Oryzias latipes: one gene and its partners. The main gene of each other region encodes a partner of the protein of the gene in region 2 in a complex. Links are inferred from orthologs where the notes say so. Each region holds a gene or a part of one and is shown on either strand. Other genes may lie near its edges. The genes, in order: thoc6, thoc3 and thoc7.

Evidence for each region.
Region 1: thoc3 (region 2) and thoc6 share a complex: the UniProt entries of both Homo sapiens proteins name them as parts of the transcription/export (TREX) complex. The link is inferred for Oryzias latipes from reciprocal best matches to the Homo sapiens genes THOC3 and THOC6.
Region 3: thoc3 (region 2) and thoc7 share a complex: the UniProt entries of both Homo sapiens proteins name them as parts of the transcription/export (TREX) complex. The link is inferred for Oryzias latipes from reciprocal best matches to the Homo sapiens genes THOC3 and THOC7.

Annotation. Positions count from the first base shown.
Region 1 is NC_019866.2:289,645-293,400, forward strand, and holds the start of thoc6 (THO complex subunit 6 homolog), read right to left. Parts: upstream 2,800-3,756; 5' UTR 2,785-2,799; coding exon 2,647-2,784; intron 1,866-2,646; coding exon 1,774-1,865; intron 1,697-1,773; coding exon 1,632-1,696; intron 1,529-1,631; coding exon 1,425-1,528; intron 1,355-1,424; coding exon 1,317-1,354; intron 1-1,316. UniProt on the Homo sapiens protein: Component of the THO subcomplex of the TREX complex which is thought to couple mRNA transcription, processing and nuclear export, and which specifically associates with spliced mRNA and not with unspliced pre-mRNA.
Region 2 is NC_019868.2:29,382,689-29,386,066, forward strand, and holds thoc3 (THO complex subunit 3), read right to left. Parts: upstream 2,569-3,378; 5' UTR 2,534-2,568; coding exon 2,354-2,533; intron 1,833-2,353; coding exon 1,676-1,832; intron 1,602-1,675; coding exon 1,397-1,601; intron 1,320-1,396; coding exon 1,158-1,319; intron 1,092-1,157; coding exon 991-1,091; intron 907-990; coding exon 743-906; 3' UTR 603-742; downstream 1-602. UniProt on the Homo sapiens protein: Component of the THO subcomplex of the TREX complex which is thought to couple mRNA transcription, processing and nuclear export, and which specifically associates with spliced mRNA and not with unspliced pre-mRNA.
Region 3 is NC_019863.2:16,703,149-16,706,904, forward strand, and holds thoc7 (THO complex subunit 7 homolog), read left to right. Parts: upstream 1-1,414; 5' UTR 1,415-1,434; coding exon 1,435-1,522; intron 1,523-1,746; coding exon 1,747-1,867; intron 1,868-2,293; coding exon 2,294-2,421; intron 2,422-2,513; coding exon 2,514-2,600; intron 2,601-2,694; coding exon 2,695-2,752; intron 2,753-2,841; coding exon 2,842-2,908; intron 2,909-3,011; coding exon 3,012-3,081; exon of another isoform or gene 3,082-3,158; coding exon 3,159-3,220; 3' UTR 3,221-3,316; downstream 3,317-3,756. Other genes in the region: interferon-induced GTP-binding protein Mx, read right to left, coding at 3,627-3,756. UniProt on the Homo sapiens protein: Component of the THO subcomplex of the TREX complex which is thought to couple mRNA transcription, processing and nuclear export, and which specifically associates with spliced mRNA and not with unspliced pre-mRNA.

The DNA of each region.
Region 1 (3,756 bases), on a different chromosome or scaffold from region 2:
CTGGGTGTGCGTCTGTGTGTGTGCGTCTGTGTGTGTGCGTCTGTGTGTGGGTCTGTGTGTGCGTCTATGTGTGCGTCTATGTGTGCGTCTGTGTGTGCGCGTCTGTGTGTGCGCGTCTGTGTGTGCGCGTCTGTGTGTGCGCGTCTGTGTGTGCGCGTCTGTGTGTGCGCGTCTGTATGTGCGTCTGTGTATGTGCGTCTGTGTGTGCGTCTGGGTGTGCGTCTGGGTGTGCGTCTCTGTGTGTGCATCTGTGTGTGTGCGTCTGTGTGTGCGCGTCTGTGTGTGCGTCTATGTGTGCGTCTGTGTGTGTGCGTCTGTGTGTGTGCGTCTGTGTGTGTGCGTCTGTGTGTGTGCGTCTGTGTGTGTGTGCGTCTGTGTGTGTGTGCGTCTGTGTGTGCGTCTGTGTGTGCGTCTGTGTGCGCGTCTGTGTGTGTGCGTCTGTGTGTGTGCGTCTGTGTGTCTGTGTGTGCGTCTGTGTGTGCGTCTGTGTGTGTGCGTCTCTGTGTGCGTCTCTGTGTGCGTCTCTGTGTGCGTCTCTGTGTGCGTCTCTGTGTGTGCGTCTCTGTGTGTGCGTCTCTGTGTGTGCGTCTCTGTGTGTGCGTCTGTGTGTGCGTCTGTGTGGGTGCGTCTCTGTGTGGGTGCGTCTGTGTGGGTGCGTCTCTGTGTGCGTCTGTGTGTGTGCGTCTGTGTGGGTGCGTCTGTGTGTGCGTCTGTGTGTGTGCGTCTGTGTGGGTGCGTCTGTGTGGGTGCGTCTGTGTGGGTGCGTCTCTGTGTGCGTCTCTGTGTGCGTCTCTGTGTGCGTCTCTGTGTGCGTCTCTGTGTGCGTCTGTGTGTGCGTCTGTGTGTGTGCGTCTGTGTGTGCGTCTGTGTGTGCGTCTCTTTGTGTGCGTCTCTTTGTGTGCGTCTGTGTGGGTGCGTCTGTGTGTGTGCGTCTGTGTGTGCGTCTGTGTGTGCGTCTGTGTGTGCGTCTCTGTGTGCGTCTCTGTGTGCGTCTCTGTGTGCGTCTCTGTGTGCGTCTCTGTGTGCGTCTGTGTGTGCGTCTGTGTGTGCGTCTGTGTGTGCGTCTGTGTGTGCGTCTCTTTGTGTGCGTCTGTGTGTGTGCGTCTGTGTGTGCGTCTCTTTGTGTGCGTCTGTGTGTGTGCGTCTGTGTGTGTGCGTCTGTGTGTGCGTCTCTTTGTGTGCGTCTGTGTGTGTGTGTCTATGTGTGTGTGCGTCTCTGTGTGTGTCTGTGTGTGTCTGTGTGTGCGTCTCTTCGTGTGCGTCTGTGTGTGCGTCTCTTTGTGTGTCTGTGTGTGTCTGTGTGTGCGTGTTCTCACCTGTAAGTGGGTCTCTTGCTCCACAGGGGCTTTACGCTCTGAGGACAAAGGGCAGGAGGTCACCTGGAGGTCCAGGAGGACTGGGGTTCTGGTTCCGAGGAGCCTCACCTTCTTGCTGAGCTCGGTCCAGCTCCAGGCGCTGACCTCGCCGTTTCCAGCACTCAGCAGGACGCCGTCCGCCGACAGAAGGCTGAAGACTGGACCCTCGTGAGCTGCAGGACGAGACCCAACGTTCAACTAGAACCTTCTGCCGGACCCGGACCACGATCACCGGAAGAACCTTCTCCTGGACCCGGTCCAGCCGGACGGACTCACCTGTGAATGTCAGGACCGGTTTGAGGCTGGCGGCACCGGCATCTGGGCTGAGAGCTGCTGACAAACTGGAGACGGAGACACAGCTGAGAGCGCCGCCGTGCGCGCCCGCCCGCCCGTGCACGGCGGCGCTCGTTTCGCTCACCTGAACAGGCCGATCTCCCCGTAGTTGTTCCCGGCCGCCAGGAAGCGTCCGCAGGGAGAGAAGCTCTGAGAGAAGACGGACATGTGGAGCAGCTGGGGGCGGAACCAGAGTCCGGTTAGAACATCCAGAACAGCAGCTACTCATCCAGAACTTTGGTTCTTTTCTCAGTCACATTGAATCGGAACCAGACCGTGGTCTGGTGAAGTGCGGTCCGGCCAGCCGTCACTGAGTTTTAGCGTAAAATGTTTACATCCTGGTTTCTGGTCCACAAAGACGGTAAAGCGCTAATATCAGCCGAGTTATTTGATGTACAAATGTATTCATTAGATTGCATGTCTGGTCATTCAGCTCGTTCTAAGGTGACTGTCGGTGGATTATTGTTGGTTATGATGTTCATGACCATCACAGCCATATGGAGCTTTATAAACATGTTATACTATGGACGAGGAAGCCTGAGTGGGACTCGAACCTGAATTTCTCTCCAGTTAATTAGCGCTTTACCGGGACGCGTGTACCGTGAAGCATGATGTAACACCCCCCCCCCCTCCCCCCCAGGGGATGTGTCATAAATAAAGCCTCCATTAATATCAGTTTGCTGCGTTTGGCTGAAGTCGCTGCGGTTTTTCTACCAAATGTTTTTACTGATGTTCTGTTCAGAATGAAGGTTCTGGATCAGGTATTGGACTTTGTGGTTCTGTGGCTCCGTATTCCTTTACGGTTTATTCGCCAGCGGAAACGGAACCTGAGCGGGGTTCGGATGATGAAGCCGTCTGTCTGAGTCTCCTCCTCCGTGGACGGACTTCAGGCTCGGTTCGATAAAAGTGACACCGGGATTCTGTGCGCGCGAACCGAGTCCGTGTTCGGGTAACTCACCTCGACCGGTCCCATCCTGCCGCCGACCTGGAACCCCCAGAACCGAACAACACTGAACTTCCAGACAATAAACCTAGCGGCGCACAAGGCGCGAAAACCTCTGGCTCGAGAATATGACGTCACAGGAACGCACGGCATGCTGGGAGTTGTAGTGGTGTGACAAAGATTTCTGACCTGATGGCTCAGCAGGAACAGTTGAGCTTTTTCTAATCAGCTGCTGTGTGCGTGTGTGTGTGTGTGAGTGTGTGTGTGGGTGGGTGTGTGCGTGAGTGTGGGTGTGCGTGAGTGTGTGTGCGTGAGTGTGTGTACTTAGAAGGATTTTATTGATTCAACAGCTGAACCTGCAACCTCTGACAGATCCATTTGATCCAGTTTCTTACCGACAAAACCGAGTCAGAGCCGCAAAATCTCAGTACTCCACAAACGGTTCTGCTGCAGCAGAAGATCAGAACCTGAGCTTTAAACTGTTTCAAATATTGGGATTGAAAGCATTGGTTAGGAAGTTCACACGGACTCCACAAAGTATGTCTGCTTTCTTTTATTTTTTTCTTCAACACCAACAAAGGCTACAAATACAAAAAAGCCTTTTTACCCGTCTCAAACCCTGACCCACTTCTCTGCACACATTAAGCGTCTCATAGAAAAGACATAAATGCTGCTGTGGAGAAGGTCCACAGGTTCCTGGGGGGGCACCTCACTAACCACCTGTCCTCCTCCACCAACTCCACATCAAAAAGCACAACACCACAAACACACAACAACACCACAGAAACACAACATCAACACTGCAAACACACAACACCAATACCACAAACCCACAACAACATCAACACAACAAACACACAACAACACCACAGAAACACAACATCAACACCACAAACACACAACAACATCAACACAACAAACACACAACAACATCAACACAACAAACACACAACAACACCACAGAAACACAACATCAACACCACAAATACACAACAACATCAACACAACAAACACACAACAACATCAACACTGCAAACACACAACACCAATACCACAAACCCACAACAACATCAACACAACAAACACACAACAAAACCACAGAAACACAACATCAACACCACAAAC
Region 2 (3,378 bases):
TTTATTGAATCTTTTAGAAAAAAAACAGCTGCAGTTTCCAGCTTTTTCTGCAACAATTATCTCAAAAATGCATGTGAGATTGTGGAGGGGCTGTAGATCAATACAGACTATGAGTTTATCCTTCTTTTTTAAAATTTTTGGATGCTGGTGTGCCGCGGGATTTTTTTTAAGGTTAAAGTGTGCCGTGGCTCAGAAAAGGTTGAAAAACACTGATCTAGACCCACCGACAGTGCTCTGAATCTTTTTTCTTCAATGATTTGTGATCTTCACTGGTGTCCATGGATTACATGAAATCTTTCCACCTTTATCCACCTTTGTCATGGTAGGGAGAACATGTCAATGGGAGGGGGGGTCATCTAAGATAGCACAAGGGTTAATTATGGTCAAAATAAAGGACCAAATCCGTGAAATTCAACCCACACGTATAACTGAAGTGTCCCAGCACAGGAGGAACTGTTTTTCTATCTATAGTATTTTCTCCAGCATCTTACTCCGATACACATTTCTATAATTTATCATTTTAGTCAAATACTAAAATATTTATTCCGATAGTTGCAGCTCAGTTCAAGCATAAGTTAAACTCAATGTAAAATCAGAAACAGTTTTAAGTTTTTCTGCAGGTTAAAAATGATTTTATTATAAAAAAGTATTTTACAGCTGTACAGTACAAAATAAAAGGGGGTGAGTGAGGAGCTCCCTCTGCTGGAGACGGGACGTTACTGCAGAGCGCCCGCAGCCCCCCTTAGGAGTCGTTGGGAAGGCCAAAGAGCTTGACCGTCCCCGCCTCGCGGTTGTTGTCGTACTTGCCCTCCTTGTCGTCGCAGGCGTAGGCCAGCAGGGGTCTCTTTGGGTGCCAGGCGACGGTGAAGGTGGGGGAGTCACACTGCACCTCCCACAGCTTCTCCCCTGTAGGGTGGAGGAGAGATGGGCTTTGAGTGACAGCCGAGTGGGCGGGATCTTCACCGCCTGTGCGGCTGCAGGTTTACTGACCCGTTTCCACCTCCGCGATGTCGATGAAGTGATCCTCCGACGCTGAAGCCAACATCTTGCCGTCGTGGCTGAAGCTCAGCGTCCTCACCGGCCAGTCCAGCCTGCAGCAGAGCAGAGACTCGAACAAAGCTCGCAGCAAACGCCGGACCCTCGGCGGCTCAACCCACCTGGAGAAGCAGCGCACGCACACCAGCTCCTCCACGTCCCACAGGCTGACCAGCGCGTCGGCGCTTCCCGTGGCGAAGTACTTCCCCGTGGGGTCGAACTTGATGCAGATGCAGTTGGACGGGTGAGCGTTGATGGACTGGATGGGCTTCAGCTCCGGGTAACTGCGCAGCACCAGAACCTGTTTTTATTTCAATGTGACCGGTGGGCGCGGGTCGGCATGCGACAGTGGCGCTCTGACCTCAGGATGTTGATGCAGCCGTTGCCGTTGGTCAGGAAGAACATGTCGTTGTCGTTGTTCCAGGAGATCTCGTTCACCTCGAACTTGAACTGCTCCTCCGCCCTGGAGCGGTGCGTCTTTGCGTCGATGAAGGTCACCACGTCGTCCTTGTTCCCGACGGCGATGGTCTGGCCGTCTGGACTCCAGCAGATGTTGATGTTTTCACCTGGAAACAAAGTCAGTTCAGACGTTAAAACGTTCCTCGACATCGTTCCGGGTCTTCAGATCCGTCCCGGTTACCCTTTGTGTTTACGGTGGCGATGCACTTGGTGGTGCGGACGTCCCAGATGCGGATGGTTTTGTCTCCGGACGCCGTAACAAACAGGTCCGGGTTGTTGGGATGCCAGCACAGCTGATCCACGCTGTCGCCGTGACCCCTGTAGTTGTTGTCCTTGACCTGGGGAGAAGACGCACTTCAGTGGTTGGTGGCCATTAAACGTTTAGTACCGTTCTAAAACGGTATGAGTTAACATTTATGCTGCAGTGGGTCTTCCTCCTCCACCGCTGAAGTCTTTGTCCAACACAGAAACATGAAAGTTGGAAGACTTCAGCTTCCTGATGCAAACTCAGAGTCAGGATTCAAACCCAGAACCTCACTAGCTTCAGAACCTCAGATGTGCATCAACTAAGATGATGGATTAAAGAAGCTGACGGAACATTTCATGACTTGAGGTGAATATTTTCCCCTTCAAGTAACTCCCAGCTGGAAACATCAGCTGCTTCTTTTTTTTTAATAGTTTTTATTATTACTTTAGTTTTATTTTGACTTTTTAAGGGCGATCCACAGTGACAAAACACCGCCTTCTCCTCTGAATCCATCACTTCTCTGTTTTTAAATAACCTTCCAAGGAGTTTGGCACGCGCGTCTGTCTTTGTGCTAAAGCTAGCATGCTAGCAGAAAACGAGCCGGTTTCTCACCAAGCGGTCCTTTTCCAGGACGAAAACGCTCGCGGTTTTGTCGAAAGACCCGGACGCCAGCCTCCGGCCGTCGCAGCTCCACGCCACCGAGTGAACTTTCGCCGAATGAGCCGGAAACTCCCGACTTTTGCTGTTATTTCTGAAGCTCTCCTGCATCTCCTGATAGTACTGCGACGCCATCTTGGTCCCACTGTGTGACGTATGGTTTTTAGAGGAGAGCGCGAGGGCCCCCTGCTGGCCGGAGGACCGCGCGTGCAGTTTACTCATCGACCAGTGAGTTGACGCGTTACTGAAGACAGATCTTTGAACTATTGTTACTTTTTGGGAAATTCTTGGATCAACTGGAATTATGGGAAAAGACTTTTGAAAATAGAAAAACCAGATGATCCAGATAATTTCCCCATTGATAATAAATAAATAAAGATAAAATATTTATTATTTAAGATAATTAATCTTATCTTTACAGGCATTAAACATAGACATATTCTCATATTTTTGGAGCATTTTGGAACTAAAGTGTCACAAAGAAATGACAGTATTCTTCAAATAAAACACTTTTTGTGTCACTGACAGGATTTTTCTTTTCCCTGATTTTAGATTCCAGAGATGAAAGAAAATTGCAAAGGTGGTGCTGACATCATCAGGTCAAAAATAACTAATACTTCATATGATATGTGCTTTTATTTAGTACAAACAAATAAGGCAGACCGTAAAATAATCTGTAAAATGTAGACGTGTTTTAAAAAGTGACTTCATTACTTACTTCTGCTAATAATTCACCAATGAAAAAGACAAAGACTGTTTGGTTTGATCTGAACTGCAGTTTATTTCAGGTGTGAAAATTCCGGTTTAAAAACATGGAAACTGGATGCAGAAAATCAGTGTGAGGGTTCAATTCCCCCATCAGAGGGGGGGGGGGGGGGGGGGGGGGGGGGGGGGGGGCGGGTCAAAGCTGCAGGGTTTTACCTGCACAGGTGATCTCACTCTGACTGAGGTTTTCCAGCAGCTTCTAGGGTCAAATTCTT
Region 3 (3,756 bases), on a different chromosome or scaffold from region 2:
ACAATCATTTGATGTAAGCTTTTTAGAAGATTTCTGGTGAGATTTTAAAAGAGGTTGAAGCAATCAAAATTTTAATTATTTTAAACTGTGGACACTAGCCATGAGGGTGTTCTAAGTGCTGAATCTGCACATAATGACTGTATCCAAATCCTTTTTGAGATTGTTAAAAAAGGTGCTTTGCTTGTATTTTCAAAACCATAACACACTCCCACTTAAAATGTTTGGTTAAATCTAGGCATGAATATGTTAACCTCTGATTTCTAATTGGCAAACTGCTGAAAGTTTGTACTGTTTTCCTGTAAATCTAATATACGCGTGAACCTTTGTTAAATAACAAAACTCTATTTGCCCACACGGCTGGTGTTCTGGTGAGAAATAGAGCACATTAAGTTTCAAACAAGTTTCATTGTAATTTTCTAAGGTGTAGGAACAAACATGAAATCAGACCTGAATTGATCTGTCAGAAAAAAAACGAGGAAGTGGTGACCAAGAAAATATGTTGGCCAAATGAAAACCTGTTTAAATCTATAGTTGAAGCAGGTATTGTACCTATAACCGTACCAGTAACATTACTATTTATGAATTATTATAAATGGTGAAATTAAAGCTAGATAGAAATCTTTGTCCTCAATAGCCACTTAGTAGCTAAAGGTTCTTATAGAACAGAGGTCTGCAACCTGAGGCTCCGGAGTTACATGCAGCTCCTTTATGATTCCATTGTGGCTCTTTGGTTTTGAAAAAAAAACGCTAACGATTTGAGTTACTAATAATGTTTTGGGGTTGTTTTTTTTTTTTTTTAATTTATTTATTAAACTTTCTTTTATTTGGATTCTGCTCCAATGTTGTCATGTTAATATATGACTATAAAAGTAGAAAAGAACGAATATGCAGCAAAGTCTGACTGATAGAAAAGTCTATGTTTGACCTGACTTTCTTACATGTTTTATTCAAGTGAGTCTGTTGGAGGATTTAATTTGACATGAGGTTTATTTCGTTTGAAAGGAACCTATATATGCTGCTGTCAAAAGTAAAGGAAGTTAATATTTTAATAGAAAGAAAATGATAAAACTTTCATAATTCAATTATTTTAATATCTAAATGCTACATGGTAAAAATGAATGGTTTAATGGTAAAACAAAATATGTAATGTGCCATTCTCGATTGATAATTCAGCTTGCAATTTAAGCATTCAATCTAAAAAATGCATTTTAGAATTTAAAATTCAATGTGTAATGCTACAATGTAAGCTGACATTTTTAAAAGCAAAATGTTAAATAAAACAAAATCAATTGTATTCTAAACTGTCATTGGTTTTTAGTCCAATAATATTCTGCAATATAATAAAAGTTCAATTTTGCTGTTGAGTCTAAAAAGCACAAAAATGTGGGAAAAAAATTGCCACATTGAATGTCCACCAATAGGGGGCAGTAGAAAATGAAACCGCTGATTTTAACCTGGAAAAAGAATCTTGCTCTACCGGAAATAGTATTGCTCATTGCAAACATGGGGGCCGTAACAGATGGTAATTTGGTGGTTACTTCGTTTAATATAAAGTTTTATTAAAAATAAATAAAGTGTTTATGTGTTAAGTTATTGTATACAATAGCTTATTTCTAGAATGTAGCAGTGTTTACGCAATCAGTTGGGAGAACTGTGCAGCTAATTTATTGCCCTGCAGTGCTAGCTCAGATTAGCAGGTTGCAATCTAGCCTATAGTTTATCTTGTCTCTTTCGTTTCTGTTAAAGATGAAGTCATTCGGAAACGTCTTCTTATTGATGGCGACGGAGCCGGAGATGACCGCCGGATCAACCTGCTGCTTAAAAGCTTCACTAAATGGTGCAACTCGCCCGGGACTCCGGAGGAAGGGTCAGTGCTGAATGAATCTGAGTCTGAGCTGACGCATCAGAAGATTTACTTTCCAGATTTTAATGTGATTTAGCATTTACGAACAACTCTTCTTGCGAAAGAAAAGTCACATTAGTTAGTTCTTACGTTGTGTGTACAGGCAATTCCAAGCTAGTTTATCAAACTCCATAGAAGGTTAACGGGTCTCAGTTGCATGCAGTTATACTTACCCAAGGAGAAGAGTAACTGTCTTCTCTACAATCTATGGCAAGCAGAGTGTGACACACAGCACAATGTTTCAACTCTGACCATGCATTTCAAAAGGCTGTTTCTATACATTTCCATGATGTGTTTTTATATACCCGAAGAGTAGAATGGTGTCTTCCTTGTTAAATATGCAACAAAAAATCTCACTTTAATTCCTTGTGGTCTTGTGTTTGCGTGTAGATTCACACAGTACCAGCGGATGTTGGGCACTCTGGCTCAGTGTGAGTTTTCCATGGGAAAGACGTTGATGGTTTATGACATGAATCTTAGAGAAATGGAAAACTATGAGAAGATCTATTCAAATATAGGTGAGGTTTTATTGCTCTCGTCTGGAAGCATTTCTGTTTACAATATTAGATTTCATCTATATACCCCCCCCCCCACCCTCCCCCCATTGCAGAACAAAACATCACATCTGCACATGAGAAGATTGCAGAATGCAAAAAAGATATTCAGAGGGCAAAGAGGATACGAAAAAATCGCCAAGGCAAGGATATTTTGATATGGATTGCATATTTTATTTATTGTCCTTTTTCAATAACATCCTTGGAGTATTATAAATATGTTTGTATTTTTTCCAGAATATGATGCATTAGCCAAGGTAATCCAGCAGCATCCAGATAGGCATGAAACACTCAAGTAAGTGGCTCCGTTAATTCAGATTTTCGATTGCTTGTAAACAGCGTACAACAGTTTTGCTTCATTTTTATTTATTTATTTTCTTTCAGGCAGCTAGAGGCGCTTGACAAAGAGCTCCAACAACTGTCCCACATCAAAGAGAATGTGGATGCAAAGGTATATCCAAACAGAATTTATGCAGCTTCTGTGTATTTCGCTGATGATTTGATTTATTTTAAAGTTGTTGTTTTTTTCTATCAAATTTACTGTTCCACCATAGTTGGAGTTGAGGAAGAAGCAGTTCCACGTTCTTCTTACCACCATTCAGGAGCTACAACAGACACTTGAGAGTGAGCACTTTATTCTTAATGCCAACTGATTTTAAAATTGTTTCAAAAAGTTAAACTCAAAATTTGTCTTCTTTTAGATGATGAGAAGTCAGATATTGAAGATGCCAGTCAAGAGAGCCCTGCAGGGAACAGTGAATAACAGTGGAACAGAATGAAATGTTCTTAAATGAGTTTGGGTTTGTGAGACAGAATGCTTTTCGTATGTATTTTTGAATAAAATTCTCTTGATTCTGTCGCTCTGTCTGGTTTTCCCTTTTATTGTTTCAAATAAAAATAAAAAAATCAAAGTTCACAGACTGATAATAATTTCCCTCTATATATATGCCCAAATAAAACAATGAACATAAAAACATGCTCCACACTCGAGGTGATTATAACAATATATAAAAGGAAAACATCTGTGTGCCCATATAATGACTTTTGCTGCTGTAAGATAATCATTCCTGTTAGAAACAGCAGATTCTACTGGACTACCCAAACACAACAACTGAACATTTACACTAACATGTAATTTGGAGATGCAGAAAACAGATCCTTCAAAGTTTTTAGAACTCTACTAGGTATGCACGGGCCTGCAAAAGGCGCTTAAGGCGATTCTGCAAAGTAGCCCTCTTACTGCCGATGTCAAAGTCCTCCTTCAGCAGGAAATCCAAGTTCTCCTTGTCCTGAATCATC